Lonchura striata: one gene and its partners. The protein of the gene in region 1 purifies or fractionates together with the protein of each later gene. This does not show direct contact. Links are inferred from orthologs where the notes say so. Each region holds a gene or a part of one and is shown in the gene's direction. Other genes may lie near its edges.

What was found.
Region 2: the proteins of RACGAP1 (region 1) and SHCBP1 purify together in Homo sapiens (affinity purification with mass spectrometry; 8 studies listed by BioGRID and IntAct, counting the BioPlex papers as one, with this or other methods). This does not show direct contact. The link is inferred for Lonchura striata from reciprocal best matches to the Homo sapiens genes RACGAP1 and SHCBP1.
Region 3: the proteins of RACGAP1 (region 1) and FAM98A purify together in Homo sapiens (co-immunoprecipitation; 3 studies listed by BioGRID and IntAct, with this or other methods). This does not show direct contact. The link is inferred for Lonchura striata from reciprocal best matches to the Homo sapiens genes RACGAP1 and FAM98A.

Annotation. Positions count from the first base shown.
Region 1 is NC_134629.1:8,762,295-8,770,015, reverse strand, and holds the start of RACGAP1 (rac GTPase-activating protein 1), read left to right. Parts: upstream 1-4,710; 5' UTR 4,711-4,769; intron 4,770-6,182; 5' UTR 6,183-6,186; coding exon 6,187-6,271; intron 6,272-6,751; coding exon 6,752-6,954; intron 6,955-7,290; coding exon 7,291-7,427; intron 7,428-7,628; coding exon 7,629-7,698; intron 7,699-7,721.
Region 2 is NC_134615.1:9,849,856-9,857,165, reverse strand, and holds the start of SHCBP1 (SHC SH2 domain-binding protein 1), read left to right. Parts: upstream 1-4,191; coding exon 4,192-4,285; intron 4,286-4,789; coding exon 4,790-4,978; intron 4,979-5,475; coding exon 5,476-5,591; intron 5,592-6,230; coding exon 6,231-6,439; intron 6,440-7,229; coding exon 7,230-7,310. UniProt on the Homo sapiens protein: May play a role in signaling pathways governing cellular proliferation, cell growth and differentiation. May be a component of a novel signaling pathway downstream of Shc. Acts as a positive regulator of FGF signaling in neural progenitor cells.
Region 3 is NC_134605.1:35,870,986-35,877,982, reverse strand, and holds the start of FAM98A (protein FAM98A), read left to right. Parts: upstream 1-3,878; 5' UTR 3,879-3,956; intron 3,957-4,149; 5' UTR 4,150-4,175; coding exon 4,176-4,228; intron 4,229-6,997. UniProt on the Homo sapiens protein: Positively stimulates PRMT1-induced protein arginine methylation. Involved in skeletal homeostasis. Positively regulates lysosome peripheral distribution and ruffled border formation in osteoclasts.

The DNA of each region.
Region 1 (7,721 bases):
TGTTGCTGAGGTCTGGATGCCTTTGAGCTCAATGTGGCACATAAGTCTGTTATTCCTGCTGGAAGAGCAGCTGTCCCAGGCAGCTCCAGGTGCTATTTAGCTTCCAGGTCTCTGGACTCTGCAGTTTGGCAGTGGCTCTGACAACATGCCTTGATCACTATCGTTTTTAAATCCATGAGAAATGTCATTCTGAAGTGCAACAAATAACGGTCTGATTATCTGCTGGATCCTAATGCTACTCCCTGGAGATAACAAGCTGCAATTTTCCCCCTGGGCCATACAATAATCGCCCCAATTACTCCCAAGCAGTGGTTATTAAACTCATGGCACCGCTTTGGTTTACAAAGCAAAAATCATTAAGCAGGTGTGTGTGTGTGTGTGTGTTTGTTTGCTGTTTGGCTGGGAGTGACCGAGGTTGTTCTTGTTTTGTTCTGGGAGAGGAACTCCTGGTGGCTGTGGAAAACCTCCATGGCTTTCCCGCTCTGTGTGGCACAGTTCTGTCAAGAGCCTCCGGATGATCGACCAAATAAAATGCAGTTGGTGTCTGTTAATGCTGGGCCAGGTATCCCGGAGGATGTAACCTCTCTCCAAGTGTAACGTGGAGGGATTTAGGGAGATAGTGTGGTTAGCACAGCTGGGATGTGATGGGCATCTCAAACACAGCCCCGGCCCTGGCAGGAGCGGGCGTGCTGCTGTGCCTTGGATGGATTGCAGGTGTGACTGCAGGGTGACACCAGTGTCCCATGCCAGCACAGGTGTCACCCACAGCTCCATCAGCCTCCAGGCAGAGGGCACAAGGTCCCTTTACCTTTGTCCCAACAAGACCCATGCTGTCAGGGAGATTTGATGTGTCTCTGCACACAAACACACGATGGCTCGCTCGGACATGGAGCTTCCAGCTGCTCAGGGAGAACAGAGCGAGCAAGAGGAGGGAGGGATGACCAGGACAGGGAGGCAGGCTGGTGAATTATGCATGACTCCAGGAGGGGAGCGTTATCTGCATGGACAAAGGCCTGTGCCAGCAGCCTGGCTCCGCTGTACCTGTGCCTTCCTTCGCCCGCGCTTTATCTCCGCTCCCAGCTTGTAATTCAGCCCAAATATCAGAGGAAGCTGGAAGATTAATTTTCTCTGTTTGCATGGCAAAGGAGAGGGGACACGCTCTCACTCCCGACTCCCAGCTGTTTAATCCTCCACCAAGGCCTGCCGAAGGAAAAGGCAAAAATTTATCAGTGTTGGCAAGTCGCTGGTGTGGGGAGGGGTGTTGGAGCCCGGGGCCCCCCACAAGCAGGTCGTGGGCACTCACAGCAGGCTTCATGTGTGGGTAGGGTTTGGGGGGCACTGAGAAAATGCAAACCCTTCCCTGCTCCCAGCATTTGGGTCCAGAGGAGGGTGTGGGCTTGGGAGAGCCGGAGTCAATGAGTCCCTCCGGCGTGGGAGCGTTCATGGCTGTGAGTCGCTCAAATATTTAAGAGATGACAACTGTATTAATACAAAAACTAGATAAAGATCCCTTGAGTTTAAAGACAGAACCATCAGCTCAGCTTTTATTTCCCAGCCCTCTCCCTTAGCTTACTCCCCGGCTTAAATGAAATCATAAATATCGGCCCACAGAGGTCCTTTGTCACCGCACGCAGCTCCCGGCGACAAGAGGTCATTCATTAAAAGCCAGATGAAGGCAATAGAGACTCCCTTTGTTTTTTAAGGAGTTCAGGGTAAGGCCGTGGCTTCTCTGCTGGCATTAATGCACCGGTGGGTTTGGCTCATCCCATCCAAGTGATCTTCACCCCAAAGTTGATGAAAGAAACATCCCGGGTTCTCTCAGGTGGGACATCACAGATGAACCTGGTTTGTTGCTGGACTGATGGCAAAACCAGAGCCCCTTTTTCCCCCTCCTCACAGACCCCATGGTCTCATCATCCCCCTCCCCACAGACCCCATGGGCTCCTTTATCCCCTCGTTACAAACCCCATGGGCTCCTCATTCCCCTCCTGCCAGCCCCCGTGGGTGATGCTCTGGCCACATTTTGCCCAGCTGAGGGATGGCCGAGGCCCTGCAGCTCCCACCCAGCACATGAGCCTGATGCCATCTGCCGGCCTCTGGCTCTGGCCAGCCAGGAGAAATCAGAAATTAATTCTCTAAAAGGTCCATCTCCCTCTGGCTAAACTCCAACTGCCCCCCCTGCCCAGCCTGATGGATTTTTTCCTCACACTACTGAACAACTCCTTTTTAACACCCCTGCTGTATGAATGAACCAAGAGAAATGCACCTAAGATAATTTCCCCCCATTTTTTTTCCCTGGAGAAAGGTTGCTGTCTTAAAGTTTCTCATTCCCCTCGCTTCCCCCTGCCTTTTTATTTTTTGAATGACTGTTTATGAAGACCATCGTGGTCTAACTGGTTTTGGATTAAAAGGAACTTAATAAAGGTTTCCCCTGTGCACAAAGCTGCACAAATGGGTTTGCAATTGCAGAGTTAATTACAGGAGCTGGGCAGAGCAATCGGTGTTTGCAAAGCTTCACCAGAGGATGAGGCTGGCAGGGAGAGGTTTGGCTTTGCTCTTTGCGCACACTGCGAGGCACTGGGGCAGGTTTCCTTCCATTTTCCCCAAAAATTGAGGAATGGGGTCACCAGGGAATGCCACTGGCATCAGCACCAATCCTGGTGACATCCTGGGGTCTCATCCCAGGGTCACATTCCGGGCTCAGCCGGTGTTGCCCAGAGAAGGGTCTGGGGTGGCTGGAGGAGAAAGGGCTGAAGAGCAACCCAGCGAGGCTGAGGGAGGAGCTGGAGGAGAATTTCTGCTGCCTGAGAATGTGAAGTGCTTCCGCCAGTAATCGCCGGAATCATCAAATTAGCATAAATTCTATTAACGGTTTCCCAGATGAGACATTTCAAGGCTTCTCCCCCCCTCTTCCTGACACAAACAAAAAGAGAATATAATTACTTTGCCATAAAGCAGCTCCTGAAAAGGCCCTCAGTCCTTCTGCCTTTCTTCTCCTGTGGAATAAAGCTCCAAAGGAAAGGTGCTGCTGATCTCTGTGCTCTCATCATTCATCAACCAAGGAGGAGGAAAGAAACTCCACAATGGTTTTAGAGCCTGGGCCTGAGAGCAGGGGCCCATTTGCCAGGTCCACAGCACAGGTTGGGGCAGTTCTGAGAAGCTTTTTGGGGTGCTCAGATCCTGCTGCCCTCCCGATTCAGAGGGAGGACGATGGTGGAACACATATGGAAGAAATGCAATTTGTGTAACACAAGCCCAGCACCTACTGCAGTAACGCACAACAAGCACCGCGGGGGCAATAATCTAAAATAATGTGCTTTTTTTTTTTTATTGGCACGAGATTGCGGATGACGATTTGAAAGAGAACAGAATTTGCTTATGAGCAAAAAGCCTCCTTAACTCTTCAGAACGACACTAAAACAACTCGCCTGCCTATAAATACAATCTGCCAATAGAGGCATCTTAGCTGTGAAGATTTAATTACAGGCAGGAGCTGCAGGAGACTCGGGGCTGAAGCAGCCGAGCCTCATCACAATTGGGGGGATGTACCTGCACAGAGCCAGGTGTAACTGTCAACCTCCAACTTCAGGGGCAAATTGGGATTTTGGGTGATTTCCTGGACTAAAAGTTAATACGTCAAGGTCAGGACCTTTCTCTCGCTTGGCCATTGGCTCTGAGGATGAGTTGTGTCTCTTCTAGGCCTCAGTTCCCCTATAAATGTGGATAATTTTGGCTCTCTTCTTCAAGGAAGCCTCAGTAACATTTACTTTCCCAAAGATCCTAAGGCTTTTTACAATCTATTACAAATTAATTATTATTAAGTTAAAACAAACTATATACCCTAAATAAAGCAGTTCCAACAAAGCAGCTGGATGATGAGAGCAATCTGCTTTACAAACTCCCTTTTCCACTGCGCAATTTTCAGCATTTAGTTCCGCTTTCTAATTGCTAATATCCATTCTTCAATTACCCGCTGTTTTGTTTCAGATTTAAAAGATTAAAGCACGTTGTTATTTTATGATTATGTGAATTCCCTTTGTGTAATTGTTGGGTTTGGGTTTTATCTGTTTGCATATTAAACGCCTGCACAGGGAAGAGTCATACGTGGCTTGAAATGGGTTTTGCCTTTGGCGCAAGTTGCCGGCTGTTACTCAAATCAAAGTTTGGAGACGAGGAGCAGGCAAAGCATTGTATTTCTCAAGTGACAGCACCCCATAAACAGCCTCACGGTGAATTTCAACGTTCTCCCGCTGCACCCAGCCCCTTGCCCTGACCCTTTGCAGAACCAGCACGGGGCGCTCAGGCCCACACGAGCCCTGCGCCCGTGGCTTTGCTGGAAATAACAACCCGGTTTGGCCTGAGAAGGGCTTTTCCTGCCCCGAACAGCCCCTCTGGAGCGGTGGGCACGGAGCAGGCCCAGGCCTGAGGGTCCCGGGCCCTCCCGGCGTCCCCGTTGCTAAGCAACGAGCGCTGGCACCATCCGCCATCACAAAATATGGCACCTGGGCGGCTTCAGCGCGCGGGCAGCCGCGCCCCGCCGGGCAGGCAGACCGCGCCCTCAGCAGACATGGCACCGGGCTGGCTTCAAGGAGCCCACTGAGCGCAGCCAACGAGAGGCAGGGGGAGGGGACGGGGGGAGCCGGGGCGCGCGGCGATTGGCTGGCGGCGCGGATTCAAACCGGAGCGCGGGGCCGTTGGGGCTGCGCGCGCCGCTGGGGCCGGAGCCGCGGCCCGGGCGCCGGAGCCTGAGGGGAGCCTGAGGGGCTCGGGTGAGTGCGGGGACCGGCTGGGAGGAACCGGGGGCTCGGGGGAGCCTGAGGGGCTCGGGTGAGTGCGGGGACCGGCTGGGAGGAACCGGGGGCTCGGGGGAGCCTGAGGGGCTCGGGTGAGTGCGGGGACCGGCTGGGAGGAACCGGGGGCTCGGGGGAGCCTGAGGGACTCGGGTGAGTGCGGGGACCGGCTGGGAGGAACCGGGGGCTCGGGGGAGCCTGAGGGGCTCGGGTGAGTGCGGGGACCGGCTCGGAGGAACCGGGGGCTCGGGGGAGCCTGAGGGGCTCGGGTGAGTGCGGGGACCGGCTCGGAGGAACCGGGGCTGAGGGGACTGCGGGGCATCCTGAAGGCTGAGGGGGGCCCTGGGGGGAAGGATCCCGGGCCCGCCCAGGCCCTTCCATCCCGGCGCTGTCGCAGCCCCGGCCGCCCGGCTCGGAGGGCGCTGTACGGGCCGGGCTGCTCCCGTCCCTGCGGCCTCGGGGGTCGCGGTGATGGTGGTGATGGTGATGCTGGTGATGATGGTGATGCTGGTGCTGGTAATTGAGGCACCGAGCTGGGCGTGCCCCGCGCTGTGCGTTCGCACGACGGGGGCAGAGCTTTTCCTCTCGCCTCGTATTGCACCTATTAAAGTATCGAGGTGTTGATGCCCCTGTGAAGTCTGTACCTGTGGAACAGGTACCCCAAAGCCTTCTGTGCTGGCAGGTTTATGTGCCCTGCACCTCTCCCAAGCCTTCCAGCACTCGCTCATTTCCCAGCCCCTGGTGCCCTGCCTGCTCCTCTCTCATTTGTGAAATCATTTCTGTCTTGCTGAGCTGGAGACTTTCCCCTTCGCTGCCTCTGTTTATGCCGTTGTTGCTGCTGTTTGGGAGAAATGTGCTGACTGGTTGAATTTTAACAGCTATTTGCAGGAGGAGCTGTAAGTTAAAATGCAGCTAAATATAAAACTGTATTAAAATTCCCCGGAATGTTGCTCCTATTTTTATCTTACAAAGTGCTGAAAACTTGCAGGTTTTTAGTGGCCTAGATAGTACCAAGTTATTTGTGGGCAGGGCATGGGCTGTGTTCTGTAACCTTTCTGAAGGGAAGGACTTGGGATCCCTCATCTTGCCTTGGGTTGTGAGTGTCTCTGCTGTGCCGCGGGACAGTGGAAGCACTAAGGTGGGCAGATCTGCCTCTCTCCAAGGCTCTGTTATCCATAAACCGTGGAGGGCTGTAGATTTTCATTCCCAATGAGAAAAAGTAGATGCATATATCTCCATAAAACATGAATTTTGTTTGTGCAGCTTCTCAAACCCGCCTGAAAGCATTACAACCAGTAACTCTGAGGCTGGTTCTCTTTCCTTTGGGCTGGTTTCTGCTCGGAGGTGGGAGGGAAGGGTTGAGCTGCTTGTTCAGCTGTGTTTTTTTGGCAGGAGGATGGAGATTGCCATGGTGAACCTGCGGGGTCTGTACGAGCATCTCACGCGCCAGGCCGAGCTTCTGAGCGAAGGAAACGAATGCCGTGAGTTTTGTCCCTGAAGAATCTGCTGAAGATGCTAAAACCAGACTGATCTGGGCTCTTCCTTTGTGGAGAAACATCAAGTCCCAGCTGAATTTCCATGCAGGGTCACGTTCTGCTTGTAGCAAACTGGCTTTGTCCTGTGTTCCAGCTCTTCTGGGTGGTGCTGAAAGGAAGAAAAAAATGAGAAATGGAAGAGCTCATGGCCATCTCTTGTGTGGCTGGCTTCTCCATGCCTCAGTTGGGAGCAGGAGGAAGAATGTCTTCCTGGAAAAGCCAGTTGGGGATTGGAGGGGTCTGCCCAGGGAGGTTTGGACACATCCCTGGAGGTGTCCAAGGAATGGCTGGACGTGGTGCTGTGGGCTGGGTGACAAGGTGGGGATTGGGTCTTTTCCAACCTCAGGAATCCAGGGATTCTTTGTGAAGCTGCTGTTAGCTGCTCCTCTGCTTGCCCAGCTAAGGCTTCATGTGCTTTCTCCTCAGAGTTTATTCAGTTAGCCAAGAACTTTGAGGAGAACCGGAGGAAATGGCAGAAAATAGAGGAGGAGCTCAGCAGGTGCAAAGATCGCCTCATGAAGACAGAAGCTGAACGCAGTGCCCTGGACGTGAAACTGAAACATGCCCGCAATCAGGTGGACGTGGAGATCAAAAGGAGGCAAAAAGCTGAAATGGACTGTGAGAAGCTGGTGAGTAATTCCTGTGTTACCCCTCAGCTCTTGAGAGTGTGGAGACAAGGCGATTAAACTGCACTGATCAGTGGCAAATAAGGACTGGCACCCATGGGGAGGAAAGGAAAACTAAAAAGCAAGGAATTGGCTCGGCTCCTCGGAGCAGCCTGCTGCTTTGATCTGGGAAAGGAGACTGGCTGCTGATGGAACCTAGCTGCCATTACCTGTCTGCAGCCATTAGCAGTCCATTGACACAAGTTCTGAGAGCTTATCTCGGCTATCTCAAGCGCTGGGTCGGGTCTTACAGTAATTAAACACGGTGTATCCAGCTGCTGATATTATCTTTGTTTGAAGGAGAGGCAAATCCAGCTGATTCGGGAGCTGCTCATGTGTGATGCCTCCGGCAGCATCCAGCTCAGCGAGGAGCAGAAGTCTGTCCTCGCCTTCCTGAACAGGCCACAGGCTTCAGTGGGAAGTGCAGGCAACAAAAGGTAGGGAAACAGCATTTCATCTGAAGTGTCAGGCATCAATCCAGCTGTCGGCCCCTGTGACACATCCTGCACCCATGTCAGCAGTTTCCCTTTTTGTTCCACTTTAAAATACGGCTCTTCTGAGTCAGTGGGATTGTTCTGGAACCGTGACTGACTGAAAGCCAAACTGATACAAGCTTCTTCTAATTTGTGTTTTTTTAGGCTGTCTACAATAGATGAATCTGGCTCAATTCTGTCAGACATCAGCTTTGACAAGAGCGATGACTCACTGGTAATGTAACTCCATTTCTCAAG
Region 2 (7,310 bases), on another chromosome or scaffold:
AAAGCCCTGACTCAAAAACAAGTTTTGGCAAGCAAGTCTCAAAAATGCCCCTTGAATCAATCACCAAGCCTCAGAAGCAAAATCCCAGCCCCTATCCAAAAGCCCACACTCGAAAAGCAGGTTCAAAAAGGCTCCTAAGAGTCAAAAGGCAAAGGACGGAACAGCCCCCAAGGCTGTTCATTTTTATGCAGTTATTTTTATGGCCTTGTCTCCTCCCAAAGTCTGCCTGCTGACAGGAGTGCGTTGGCCCAGGCCAATGTCCCACTGCAGTCCATTGGCAGAGACCTTTTGCCATGGACTGCTGAGTGTCTCTGTAGTACAGTGCCTCTGGGATTCTCCTGCTGACACATGAACTGGCTGCCAGGCAAAGCTCCCCAGAGACAGGGCTTTCCTCTGTCCTCTCCTCGGTGCCTCCTGGACATGGCACACGTGCACCCCCTCCTCATGTGCCTCTGACAGCCATTGTTGAGGCATAATAAACCTAAACAGGCTCCTCACAACAAGGTTCAGTTTGCAAGGTCAGTCTGCTGAAACTTGCATTTCTGAAAATTAGGTGGTTGGCAGTACCAGGCATGTTTGTGGTTAAGAAAAGCACAATGTCCAGCAGGCAAAGCAGTAAGAATTTTGGAATCAGTAAAGTGAATTGCAAGAGAAGAATGGTCTGTTAACATGAAAATCCAAATAAGCAATGCAGTTATTGGGTTTTTTAAAATATAAAGTCGCTGTTAGAACAATCCTAAAGCCACCCAGTATATTCCTGAAGAAGCCAATATTGAGAAGATTCTGAAAATAATTGAGAACAGGTTTGAAAAATTCAATTGCTTTCCTGGAAAGAATCAATGCATTTAGGTTTACAGTGGTTTAAATTTATACTGCTACAAAAGAAAATCTAAAGACTGAAGAGATACCTGTCAAAGAACACCAGTTACCTAACACAACCTGTAATGAGTCAACTAATTAACAGCAATCTACAGGTATGTGACACCATTCATCCCCTGCCATAAAAGTGGTTTGCAAATGCATTACTGAAACATGTGCAGTAAAAAATATTATCTGCATTTTCCAGCACAGAAATGGAGGCTTAGAAAGACTACAGTGATTGCCATGGCAACAAAGAAAATGTGTGCCAAAACGAGAAAGGTACACAGGAATGTTTTGCTGTCTTATGTAGTGGTCTCCTTCTAGTTTTTTTTTGTTTTGTGCATACTTGCTTCTTTCCCATCGCTGTCACATCTCTGCTGGCTTGGCTCAGCTGCTTATTCCGCACATTTCATAAACATTTTCTGATTTGCAAGCTTTATATTAACTAACAATTTTTGTCATTGCATGTAATTAAATAATTTGATATTTTGATTTGGTTTGTAGTTTAAGGTTGCCTAGTACTAAGACATGGTTAAGAAGATACTATTTTAAGACATCTTAAAGCAGAAATAGTTTCTACTCTCAAATGAGATATGTGTATGTCTACAAAAGAGAATTAGTACCAGCAGCAAATTAGAATGAAGATTTTTTTTTTTTTTTTTTTTTTTTGATCAGGACACTGGCTAAAACACTCCTATTTTTCTTCAGGTTTTTAACTCTGGGTCAGATTTTCAGTTGTCATGAACAGACATTGCTCCAGGGAAATCCATGGCACATTCTCTGATTGAGAATGACCAAGTGAGTTTGTTATCCTACATATACTCCTGTAGATGGGGTTTTTTTTGTAAACCCACATATGGAAGGCAGGGATATCCTGGCCCTGTTGGCTGCATGCTCTTACCTGTAATAACTGGAGCCACCAGGCTGCACCGTGGAGAGCTGAGGCTCCTCTTACCTAGTGAGGTGTGTTAGAACCAGGCTTTGAGCCATCACAGCCTCACTGATGCCTTTGTGGCAGCTGCATTGGAAATTCTGTGATCTGTGATATGTCTGGGGACACCCAGAGGAGCCAAATCCCACATGTGGGGTTTGTTTTACCATTGAGCTTCTTCAGTTAAAGTTACTGAAATACCAAAAGACAATTATCTTTTAGCAGTAAGACACTAGTTCCTTTCTGCATTTCTTTAGGCTTATATAGCTGCACATGTATTCATTTCTGTAAAGCAATTAATGATCTTCTGTGATTTTCAAACCCTATTTCCTGTGTCAAGTTGTGAAGTGGAAGCCTATTTCAGATTTTTAAAAGACAAAGTTCTGCATATGAGCATCCCTCACTGTTTTAGCATTTCAAGGGATACAGCAGGTGAAAAAATCTATTTGGGCTCCAAGATAAGACTGGGGATTTTAGAAACATCTCAGTGATCCATCCCTTTCACAGGAGCAACAGCAGTGAGATTTCATTCAGAAGTGTGAGAGCTGAGAACAGAGTGTGAGGGCAAGCACTTTCTCTTCCTCCTCTCAAACTCAGGAGTGTCATTGTTCCATGTAAGATACTGCCAGTCCTCTGGACTTCACACAGACCTGGTCAGTCTTACAGGGGAAAAAAAATAAGCTTGGGAAAGAGTGCAAAATAGAGTAGCTGAGGTAAAAGGAAAGTGTGCTGTGCAAAAGGAGACGGTGAATTGCTAAATGAGGTTCAGAAGAGCACTAATTCATGCTCAATAATAAATTGGATGGATAAACATTGTAGGGAGAAAAATAACTGAGCTCAGGAAAATAACTGATTGTCTGGACTCTGCATGGACATGCTAGCTGAAAAGTGGAAGGTTTCCAACAATAAGAGGACTGTTTCTATTTCCAGTATGATGGGAAGGAAACCACCTGCAGAGGAGTTTTTTGACCAAATGGAGCTTAGTATGTTGATGACACTTGGCAGCAGCAATCAGTGGCTCTGGAAATCAATGGCCAGGGTTGTGTTTCTTTGAAGTAAAGCAGCACTTTACAAGGACTGGGGATAATTAACCAAACAGTGTGTAAGTTTTATATAATGGAACACAATCTGCCCCCAGCTATTTTGTAAACAAAACAAATAGGGGTAAATGGGTTGTCTGATCTCAACATTGTGCCTGTTTCACTGTGGTGAGGAAGAATAGATCTTCCCACTGTACGCCCTGAGGAGTCCCTGAATTCATTGTACCTATTTAGAGGAAAAAGAATCGAAACATCTAAATATGGGAACCTCCATAGCCATAATTTTACGGTTGTATAGTTGCTCATCCACCAACATCTCCAAGTTTCTCCCCAGGAATAGCCTCAGTCCATTCTCTGCCCAGCCTGTACCTGGGCAGAACCTTTTGTTCAAATGCATGAGGTTGGCCAAGAGGCCCCTTTCAACCTGTGAAAATCCCACTGGTTGGCATCCCTTCCTTCCACTTAAAACATGCCAATTTAAAGACACTATTTACAAACACACTCTGCTTTGAAAGCTTGACCTTGCCAATAACCTTTTGGGAAGGATTCAGATGTTCAACTGTAGTTTTGTAACCAATAGTGATAGATGACAACTGTATGTGTATGGTTAAACACCCATGCCCGGTATAATGGTTAAATTCTGGCAACATTCAACAGAATCCTCTTGGGGACTAAACCATTCTCTGCTTGGGGTTTCGATGGCAGGGCTGGTTTCAGCGGCCCACGGGAGCTCCTGCCGCGGTCATGTCGGGTGGCTCGGGCCGGCGCTGCGGGACGCGCGGCGCTCGGCGGCGGGCGGAGCCGCCCCGCCGGCGGTCCAAGGCAGCCCTCTGCCGGCCGCTGCTCTTCCGGAGCAGCTGCTTCGGCTCCCCCGCATCAGTCACCGCTCCCAACACGCGGAGTGGCCTCGGGAGAGGCGCCGGGGCGTGAAACAGACTGGGGTTGTGCATTCTGATCAGGGGCTTTCTGTGTACGAACCGGCCAGGGCTGGAGTTCGTTCATTTGTTGCTGATTTTTCTTTTTTCTTTTTTTTTTTTTCTTTTTTGAGGGTGCTGATTGTTGGGTGCTTTCACATTTTTTGCGGCTTAGCCGCTCCTTCTCTCCTGGCGCTGTGCATCCGCTCCCGGCAGGGCTGACAGCGGGGAGGTCCCGCCCGGCCCCGGAGCGGCCCGGCTCCGCGCGCCAACGGCCGCCGCTGCGACAGCCAATCAGAGCGGGGCGCTGCCTGCCGACGGCCAATCAGAGCGGGGCGCTGCCTGCCGACGGCCAATCAGAGCGGGGCGCTGCCGCCGAGAGCCAATGAGGGCGCGGCGCTGGCGGCCGGCAGATGCGCGGGCGGTTTGAAGCCGAGCGGGAGGAATGGCGGAGCTGCGGCCGCCGGGACCGCGGGGGGACGGCCGGGACTCGCCGGCGGCAGGCACCGGCCCTGGGGACCGCCCCGAGCAGACCGAGGGTACGGACGGCGTGTGCCTGCGGGCAGGGAGGGCGCGGGCAGCGGGCAGGGCCGGGCAGCGGGCAGGGCCGGGCAGCCCTCGCCCCGCGCTCGGGCGGTGCCCGAGGTGCCCTACACGCTGCGGACACGAGGGCGGCCGGCTCGGGCTGTGCTGTCCGCGCTGCTCCGCCGGGGCCCGGATCCCCCATGCAGGGTAAGCCCGCTTGGCCGCACGTCCCTGGCACCGGGCTGGAAACGAGGGGAGGGATGTCTCTGGAAATCAGCACTAAAATGTGGCGTAGTTTTCTTTTTGTTAATCGTGAAGTTCTAGTGTGTTTCTCAGTGCCTACCACGGCGCTGAAATGGGCGCCCAGGAACGTATGTGGGTTTGAAACGCTTCAGCAGGGCTAAGTTAAGGCGTGCTGTAGGAGCAGACTCGTGATAGACCTGGAGCTGAACAGGAGCAGGAGTGAGTGAGTGAGTGCTCGAAGTGACAGGGGTTTGCTTTACCCCTCCTCTTCGCAGGTCTGCAGCGGGAAGATGCCGAGAGTGATTGGAGTGCTGACTCCTGGAGTGACTATGGCAGTCGTGACAAACCAGGGACTGCTTTGGGAAGGACGGTGCCAGACGGGAACGTGCTTTTCCCAGATATTTTCCACACCAATCATCTTTTGTTTTATGACCGATTCAGCGCTTACCAGGATTATATCTTGTGTAAGTAATTTTTTCATAGGAAAGTAAGGCAGACTTGGGTTTCTTGTAGTAACTTTAAACAATTCAGTTTAAGTGGAGTTAATTGTATGTCTTAAGCCGTGAGATGACTTTAATAAAGGAGGAAAAGATAGAGTGTCCTGCCATCACTTATGCTGTAACCTCAGCTGCTCTAGCTGGTGAACCAGGAGGCAGTAATTTTGATATAAGTAAATAAACTATGAATGATGGAAAGGCAGAACTGTCAGTAAGCTGTGGATCGTGTACCTTGTTTTAGCTATCTTCCTAATTTTTTTTGTGTATTGTAAATCTCTTTAAGATAAGGCACAGGTTATGTGTTTAATACTGTTGTATTTAATATTCTGTTATCGTGAGCATAGTATAATGCAGTCCAACTTAGAGGCGGTAGAGGAACATTTCAATTGTGTTGACTTTCATTTTCCAGTGATCTGGAGTTTTCTTCCACTCCTTGCATAAACAGTGTCTTCAATTTCTTTTAGCTGACTGCAAAGCTTCTGAGGTGAAGCAGTTCATAGCTGAGTACCTGGAGAAGGTCCTTGAGCCCTCTGGCTGGCAGGCGATCTGGCGCACTAACGTGTTTGAGGTCCTCCTTAGGGTGAGTGGGTTGCTGCTGCTGCTCAGGCATTTGTCTCCACTTAACATCATTTACCTCTCTAACAGACTTCTAAGTCTCTCAATGTCCAGGTCGTATGTCTGTCTTGCAAACCTTGGATATTTAAACTTGCGGTACCATCACATGGTTGAGGAGGGAAAAAGTTTGTGACCCCCTCAGCTCTTTTCTGCCCAGTTAGTGACAGAATGGCTTTCACTGGCCCAGACTGTCTCTGGATTGTTTGTGTCCTGTGGGCACTTTGAAAAATGAACCTCAAAGGAGTCCCAAAGGGCTGTGAAATACTGATTTGAGTCTGAGGATATCACTTCTGCCATTTTTTAAAAACACCAACACAAAAAGAAAGGGAGGGGTGGAAGCAACTTAATGGCCTTCTTATGAGTATTATGAGGGATTTGAATGAAGTTTTGGATGTGGAAAAGGCACTTTAGCTGTGGGGCTGTGAGAAGCTTAACTCTGGGTTATCACTTCAGCTGATGAGATGGCCTTGGCTGTATGGTACCGTTTCTGTTGGTTTGTGTGGGGTCAGTGGGGACCCGGCATGGCCCTGGCTGAGGCACATCACGTTCCCCTCCCTCAGCTGATCCGGGCTTCTGAGGGATTCAGAGCTGTTTGTTCCCACAGGTGGTTGATGTGAATTTCCCAGCCCTGAAGGCAGTTGTGCAGCTCAGTGAGCCCTTCCTGTGCGAGTCCCAGGACAGCAGCTTTACCCTGGAGTGCATGCAGGAGCTCCTGGAGCTGAAGGAACATCAGATCCTGCTGCAGGAGCTGTGGGTTGTATATGATGAGTCAGGAGAGTTTGACCAGACAGCACTAGCCATAGAGCATGTCAGGTAGGACAACTGCACCCTGCTGGTACCCAGTGGGTTCTGTCCTGAATTCTTGGGCCATACTGGCAGCTCCACAAGCCAAGCTTTCCAAAGTAAATCTGATGACTGGTGCTCTGAGGAGACTGCTTTCCCTCTCTCTTTTTCACCACAGAGTTCCTTGGACTGTATCACCTGTTGACTAGTATACTGTTCTTTCTCCTCAATAACATTTTGGTGGATTTTTCTCTTTTTTTTTTTTTTTTTTTTTTTTTGTCCCATTCATTTTTCTGCATTTTGCCTCTTCCCTTAAATTTGCTCTTTATTCTTTAGGTGTCTCTTCACATATTATTTTTTTTCTTCTTTATTATCTGTCTCTTTTCCACCTCCTTTTCTTTCAGGCACTACATGCTGTTTGAAATCTCTACAAATAAGCTGTAGGACTGGACAAAAAAACTGATATAGGAGGAATGACCTACATTGTAAGAAAGAAAGATTAGCTGAGGGGTGATTGGCCAAAACCAAGTAACCAGAAAGCCTCAGAATCTGAAGAGTGTCAGTCTTGCTTTTCAAAACCAGGTTTTGGCTGGTTTCACTCCTTTTTGAGAAAGTAGAACACAGGTTATTATGAATTCTGAGCTTAGACACACAGAATAGAACTCTATGATGACTTTGTATGTACTGAGCAGTGTATGGGACAGTAATATGAATTTCTAGTGAGAGGTGATGCTTTGAGGTGAATTTTCAAATTGGTTACATTGTGTTTCCAGTGCTTTGACTCTTCTCTCCTGTGTGGTTTGACACTTTCCTTCCAAAGGTTTTTCTACCAGTACATCTGGAGGACCTGGGACGAGGAAGAGGAGGATGAGTTTGATTACTTTGTGCGATGTGTTGAGCC
Region 3 (6,997 bases), on another chromosome or scaffold:
GAGTTGATAAACCTGGTAGCACAACAGAAGTGAAGCTGCCTGCATCTTTGTCTCGCCAGGTCTAGGCAGCATGAAGGCTGTGTGTGTACTCCCAGTAAGCACACAAACACGCTGATGTGTGTGCACATGGCCAGCCACACAGACAAACACATATAAAACTAGAAAACAGCACTTCTGCAAATGGAAACAGGACCAATGCCATAATCCTCTTCCCCTCTCTGGAATGAAGGTGTGCAGTGGAACATACAGAGAAGACATACAGCATGGGCCTTTTAGTAACAGGACAGATGCTCGTTTATCCAGTAGTCAGCCCTGGATCCTTGTTCCATCCAGCTGCAGATACCTGATCATGGCAAGACCTCAAGGCTCACTGCCCCAGTTAGTTTGCTGGCACCCACAGACTGCACATCCACTCAATATCCAGCCTTGGGCAGTTCCCCTGTTAGCTGGCCCTGGTACCCTCTGGTCTTTGATCCTCTCAGGCAGATCCTCTGGTCAGATCCTCTGATCCTCTCATGGCACAGCAGTAAGGACTGAAGAAAGTCCAGAGAGCTGAAAGTAGTCAAAAGCTGGGTGAGTAGTAGGGGAAGTGCCATTTGTCATTGTCCTGCTCTTGATCTTTCATGGTATCCAGCATGCTCTGAGCCAGAACTGACATTCCTTGATACCTGGCAAATCCAGCTGTATGTCTGACAGACAGTGGGCTTTTAGCTTCAGCACAGTGGCTGGATTCTGTTGCATCCAGACACTGAAGAAACTGCAGCATCCTGCAGAAATCAGTAAAAAAATCGGTTTTGATACAAAAGTGCTTAGCAGCACTTTACCACTCTGCATCTGGTAACACTCATGTGTGTTTCATGCTATTCTGTAAGTACAGATTTCATATTTAATGTCTCTGTCATGGGATTTTTGACAGCCACAGAGCCAACCTGAGGTGGGGTGGTGTAAACCCTGTGAAAATAAATTGTCTGTAATGAAATAAACCCTGCCTTAAAGTTGTTGGTTTTGGCTAGCTTTCCTGTGGAAGTGAGGTTTGAACCATCAGGGTGTGTCTTCAGTGACCTGGGCAAATTCAACAAGCCTCCTCTACACTGGTGACAGGTTCTTTTGGTGCAAAGCTGAAGGAGGGGCTACAGCCTTACTTTATTACTTGTGAGAGAATATGCACAGGAGGAAGTAGTTTATCTTCAGTCAGAGCTCACAGCATCTCAAACATCAAAACAAATCAATCACAAAAGGCAAGTACACAGGAAACCAATTGTCTTTGTTTAATGACAACTGGCATCCAAGCAGTGGAGCACCTCATACCTCTCAGAATAAATATATTTGGGTTGCAGAGCTTCAGGGCATGCATGAACTGCCTTTTCCTTAACCTGTATGTAGCAGCCTGGAAGCACCTGACCAATATCCACCACATCATCCCCATCCCTCCAGGGCTAAAGGGGCCAGGAGGGGTTTAGAGGGGTTCCATGAAGAGGACAGCTGCAGTCTGGGCTGGTTTTCTTCTTCCCATAGGAGAAATCAGTACTACATGGCTTTTCCAGTGGTGACATAGTGCAGGGAGCCATGGATGGCTCCAGCCAGGGCATTGCGGTCAAGCTGCCTGAGGGACATTGGATTCCCAGTCCTGCAGCTCTCTGTGAGTCAGGGTGGGGAGGGAAGTAGATGTAACAAGCCTACCCCAGGGAGAGAACAAACCCAAGGAGAGTTGAGCTCAGTTCTGCAGGTTGACAAGTTTGCAGAGCCTTGTGTAGCTTAGGGAAATCTACCCCAGTTACAGCTCTTCCCTGAGCCAATAGCCAGAGTGGCTGCTGCTTTCAGAAGTAACCTGTCTGCAGAGCTCTGGATCTCATTGTGCAACAGCAAACTTCTCAGGACAATATTATTTTGTTCAAGAAGTACTCAAAAACTGTCCAATTGCAAAATTAATTTCTTCTAGGGGGTCAGGATGCTGCACAGTGGCCATTCACACCTCCCATGCCTCCAAAATTTGTGTGGTGAAAACCCTAGGCTGGTAGGAAAAGAAAAAGTCATGACTGATAAGAGACAATGACAAAACAAAACTCTCATCCCCGTCCCCAGGAGAAAATTGTAGCTGCCTGCTCCAAGCTAGCATCACACCTCCAACTGTTCTTCTCCCCAGCCACAAGATCCTTCTGTTTTTCAAGAAACTGCTGGTCCTCACAGCACAGAAGGGATGTTAAAGCAGTCATGGAACTGAGTGATACAGACTGGAGGAGATGCCTACCAGACTGTCCCTACCCTGCAGTGTTGGCACAACTGAACCTGAGAGAAATACTTTTATTTGTTTCAGAAGGCAGATGTCATCAGCTGGGTGCCAAGATGAATATGACCCTTCTGTGCCAATGCTCATCTGAGCAGTAAATGTAAGATGACAGTAAATGTCCTCCTGAAATTAGCACAAAATCCTCGTATCTCAACATGTGCAGATTCAGGAGTGGACACAGGAACAGTGTCAATGTGACAAAATTAATTACTTCATGTACTGCTTGCTCCTATGAATGCTTTTAAACCCTATATTTAGGGCAAGAAAAAAGAAGGTTCAGAAATAAGGGGTAAACATTATCATGACAACAAGCAGCAGAGCAGAGTCCACACTCTGTGGACATACTACCCAGCTTTGTACACTTCCACCTGTGCAAGCAAGGTGAATCCAACCATTACATAAAAATAAAAAAAAAACAAAAGCAAAACAACAAAACAAAAACCAAACAGAACCCGCCAAGTCGACCAAACAAGCAAAAGGTCATAGCTTTCAGGAGCAGTGTTGAATTAGTGAGGAAAATCCTAATTGCCCAGATCTCCAGTTTAGGCTACCCACCCTGCCAAGGCTCCCAAGCACAACACCTGAGATACTTTGGATCAAAAATGAATGGACAAAGGGAAAATCAGTTAATTCTCAGAGCTCAGCAGTGATAAGGCAGCTTGCCAGAAGCCTTTATCTCTTTTATTTTTAAAAAATCAGAGTGGGCTGCGGCCACACTATACTAACCACTATACAACTAAAAGCAAATACACAAAGCAGAATGCCTGTATTATTCATCTGACATTAAGATTTTAGTCTTTAGGAGGCAATTTTCCTACAAATGTGTAAATTGACATGTCTTTAGTAATATAACTGGTGACTACAATGCCTATTCTTTATCTTCCTACCTATCTTGAGGCTACAAGATCCTTCATATTTTGACTGCAGCTTTTCTTCACCGTGCCTGCCAAGGGCAGTTTCATGAAGAACAGGAGTCGGTCCTGCAGCACCAGCTCGCTACTGGTGACAGACTGGCATAATTTTTGGCACGAATGGTTTTGGCTTTTCCCAGCGTGGTGTAGCCATCCCAACATAACCTCTCACCGTGCCTCCCTTCCAGCACTGACGTGCTTTCTGTGGGATTGCTGCGTGCCCGGCATCGATTTATTAATTTTATGAATTTTATTAATTTTATTCGGCGCCAGCCGCCTCCCGCCCTGTCGTGCGCAAGGCATGCCGGGATTTGTGGTCCCGGCCGTAGCTCGGGGTCCTGAAAGGGGGGGACGGACTCTCGTTCCCTGGCACGATTTGACCCTTCTGCCGCCCCGTCCTATCCCCCTGCCCCCGCCCGTTGCCGCGACGCCGCTCGCCGCAGCACATTCCTGCGCGGGCTGCGCTTCCGGGTCTGCCCTACCGGCGCCTGAACACAAAAGTGAGATCCTCGGCTCGTCCCGGGCTCCTTTCCCGCAAGAACGGCCTGTTATCCGGCCTCGCATCCGCGTCCCAGTTTAGCAATGGTGTTCCGCTCGGCGGATAGGCGGACACCGCCGCGGACGGGGGCGGCGCCGATCAGGCAGCGGGGCTGGCGGCCCTAGAGCAGCCGGATGAAGAGGGAGGCCGGGGGCCTTCGGCGCGGCTCTCCCCGCCCTGAGATGCCAGCCCGGCAGTTGGCGGCGCAGCTGCGAGCGTGGTGCGTGCGGCCGGGCGGGACAGCGGGCTGGGGCGGCCCGGGACAGGGGCCGTGGCGCCGGGAGCTCTCCCTCGCCGCGGGGCAGGGGGTGAGACTTGAGTCTCCACCACGAGGCCGGGATGGGCTGGAGAAGGGGGAACGGCGGGCGGTGGGAGTGCGAGAACTGGTAGCGCTGAGTCCCGCTGTCGCGCAGGTCCAGCTGTCGTGCCCCGCCGCAGGATGGAGTTCGAGTTCCTGGAGAACGATGTGCTGGAGTCGCTGGAGGACCTAGGGTACGTGTCCGAGGCTGGGGGCGCGGGGCGGCCCCGGCAGGGACACGGCGACGCTTTCCGCCCCGCACGGGCGGGGCCGCTGCCGCTCCGGAGGGCCGCGGCTCGGGGCAGTGCATGGAATGGTCCTTTTGGTCACAGCCGGCCTCAGGGCCGGGCTGCTGCTGATGCCCCAAGCCAGACGCGCAGGCTTGTAGCTGCATGGCCTTGGCGAGTCTCTCGCTTCTCCGTGCGAGCTGATCCCCTCGATTCTTGGATGCCATCTGGTCTGTTGCTGCTCTGTTCTGCACAGCGGCCCTAGCTGAGGGTGGGGTGGGATAAAGAGATACGTTAGACAATAAAAAAGCCTTCAGGCTTAGTATTTTTTGGCGGGGAGGGCGGAGAAAGAGTAAAAAGCATTGCAAATAAGCAAGTGTTTTTCTTCTTAACATATTTTAAAGGGTACTATAGTACAGGAAACTTCTGCTGTGTAAACCTGTTACTTTGTCAGAGTCAGGAAAGGCTGCATAAAAAAAGAAAAGCATGAAAGGAAGAGCGTGGAGAACATGTCCTGCTGTAAGCTCCCAAGTCTGTAACCTGCTAAGAGTTCAGAAGACAGGCAGCTACAATTTCACTCTACTGCCGGTTCCATGCAAACAGCTGTATTTACTCACATTGGCCCCATTCCCATAAATCACTTTGTGACTAGAGTCATTATGCTCCAACAAAGATTGTATTTTCAGGTTACATTAGTGGTGATAGTTGCAATGCTTGACAAATAGATTTCTGTTTTAGCAGGTATTTCTCTGACTGAAATGTGAAAAGGCATCTCTTTCACAATGAAAATACTGTGATTGGCTTATTTTTTTGTGTTTAAAAGGACACTAGTGGCTTGAAGGTGATTTGTGCTTCTGATCTGTGCAGTTATAGACAGAAAGTGTTGTTGATTTTTGACGTAAATGCGTAAAGCGAACAGTGAAAGTAGATGAACAAATAAATTATATGAAGCAAAATTGACAACAGTAAAAAAAAGAAAATTTTGAGCATGAAAGACATAAGACCCCAGCAATATTGGGAACAACTGGGAAAACTATTGCACGTGTCTAAAGGACTTCTGATTTTTGGTGTCTGGAAAGACGGGTGTTTGAGGCTTTATGTTTTGGCAGTAGCTCCATGGTCTTCATGGTTCATCTTATTTTTTCTCATCAGATACTGAAGATATTCCTAATATATCACTTGATTTTTTTTTCTTATATCAGTACATGTTAGAGAGCTGTTTCTTTTTCTAGTTGTGCTCGAGGTGTTCAGATGGTGGCCTCTTGTCTTGTACATCAGCTTGTTGAACTGTTGAAAGAGCAAACAGATGGGATAGCACGAAGTTACCAAAAGAGAGCATAGCTCTGGAACACATGTCATTGGCAGCAACAGAAGGAAAAAGCTGCTTGCAATTAGGAATCTGCAAGTTGGATTATTGGCCAGATTGATGTGTAGCTGAAGTCATAATTATAAGAAATTACACACTCAAGACATTACCTCTGTTAAAAAAACTTTCTAGAAAAGGTGCCTCTAGAAGATCTGAGCAGGGACTTAAATCCCAATCCTGCCAAAGCAAAAGGCTTTCCATTGCTTCCTTGCTACTTTGACCTGTAACTGGCTGCTTCTATTTTGAGTCCCAGATGTTCCTAGACCTACACATGTAGAGATGGGATGGGACTGAAACTTGCTCTGATTAGCTTCTTGAAGTGTCCAGCCTGCTGTGGTCATGCAGTAGGGTTGTAATACATGAGATTACAGCTTCTGTCCAGCTGCCAGTAGATTAACTGTGTCACCAATCAAGCTGCTCTGTGAGGTAAAAGTTATTTTTGAGCGTGGCTTCTTTATTTTACTTGGCTGAAGTAACAGGCCACTACAGTGAAGGCCAAATCCTTTGTATGTCGTATTAAGCACAGGAGCAGAGTGAGGAGAATTTCATTTCAATTTGAGATGTTCTTTTATTGCCGAGGTTTGCCAAGAGTTGCCTGGACTTGTTGGATTGTTGTGAGGTAGTGGATGACTTTACCCAGAAGTTCCCAAGAGAGATTTCGTTTAGTTATGAGCACTCTTGGATGTCTTTGTCTTTTGGGGGCAGTATATCAAAATTATATTGTACGTGTTTTTTCTAAAATACTGAAGTAAACTCTGACTTGTGCTTCTACCTGGTTAATAAGGCAGCCTTGTCTCTACTCTTCATTCTCCCCCTGAGAGATGGTCAGTACACAGATGTTCTGAAAACTCAGTTTTCTAAGATCTGATCTGTAAACACATGCTTTCTTTCGGTAGGTCTGATTTTTGGCTTATTTTGCTTATGCAAAGAACCAATTCCATTAATTTTTCTTGTGTATATTTAGGGAGGTTGGTTTTTCAAGAGATGATATTGTTATGCAGATCACTTTTGTAATATTTCTATCAAAGGCTTTGTTTTGTAAGGCAGCCCTTTCATATGTGATAGGAAATGACAGTAAAGATGCACTTGTTCAGCAGTAATTATTTAACATACTGTAAAGCAGTATGTAGAGCTCAGGAAGGATTCTTTGAGACTGCAGTTGCCCTGGATAGGTCTGTTGTCTGTAACATGTTCAGGAGGTGGCAGCAGTGAAGTTGCCACTATACATGGTAATATTGTGGAGGAAACTTTTGACAATGCAATTTTGTGACAGTTTTTGTGATGGTAAGTTAATGTGCACACAAATTCTGAGTTTACTCTGATGTTTTCCATGTGGTTCTTGATACAGTTCAGTCCAGGAATCACCATTC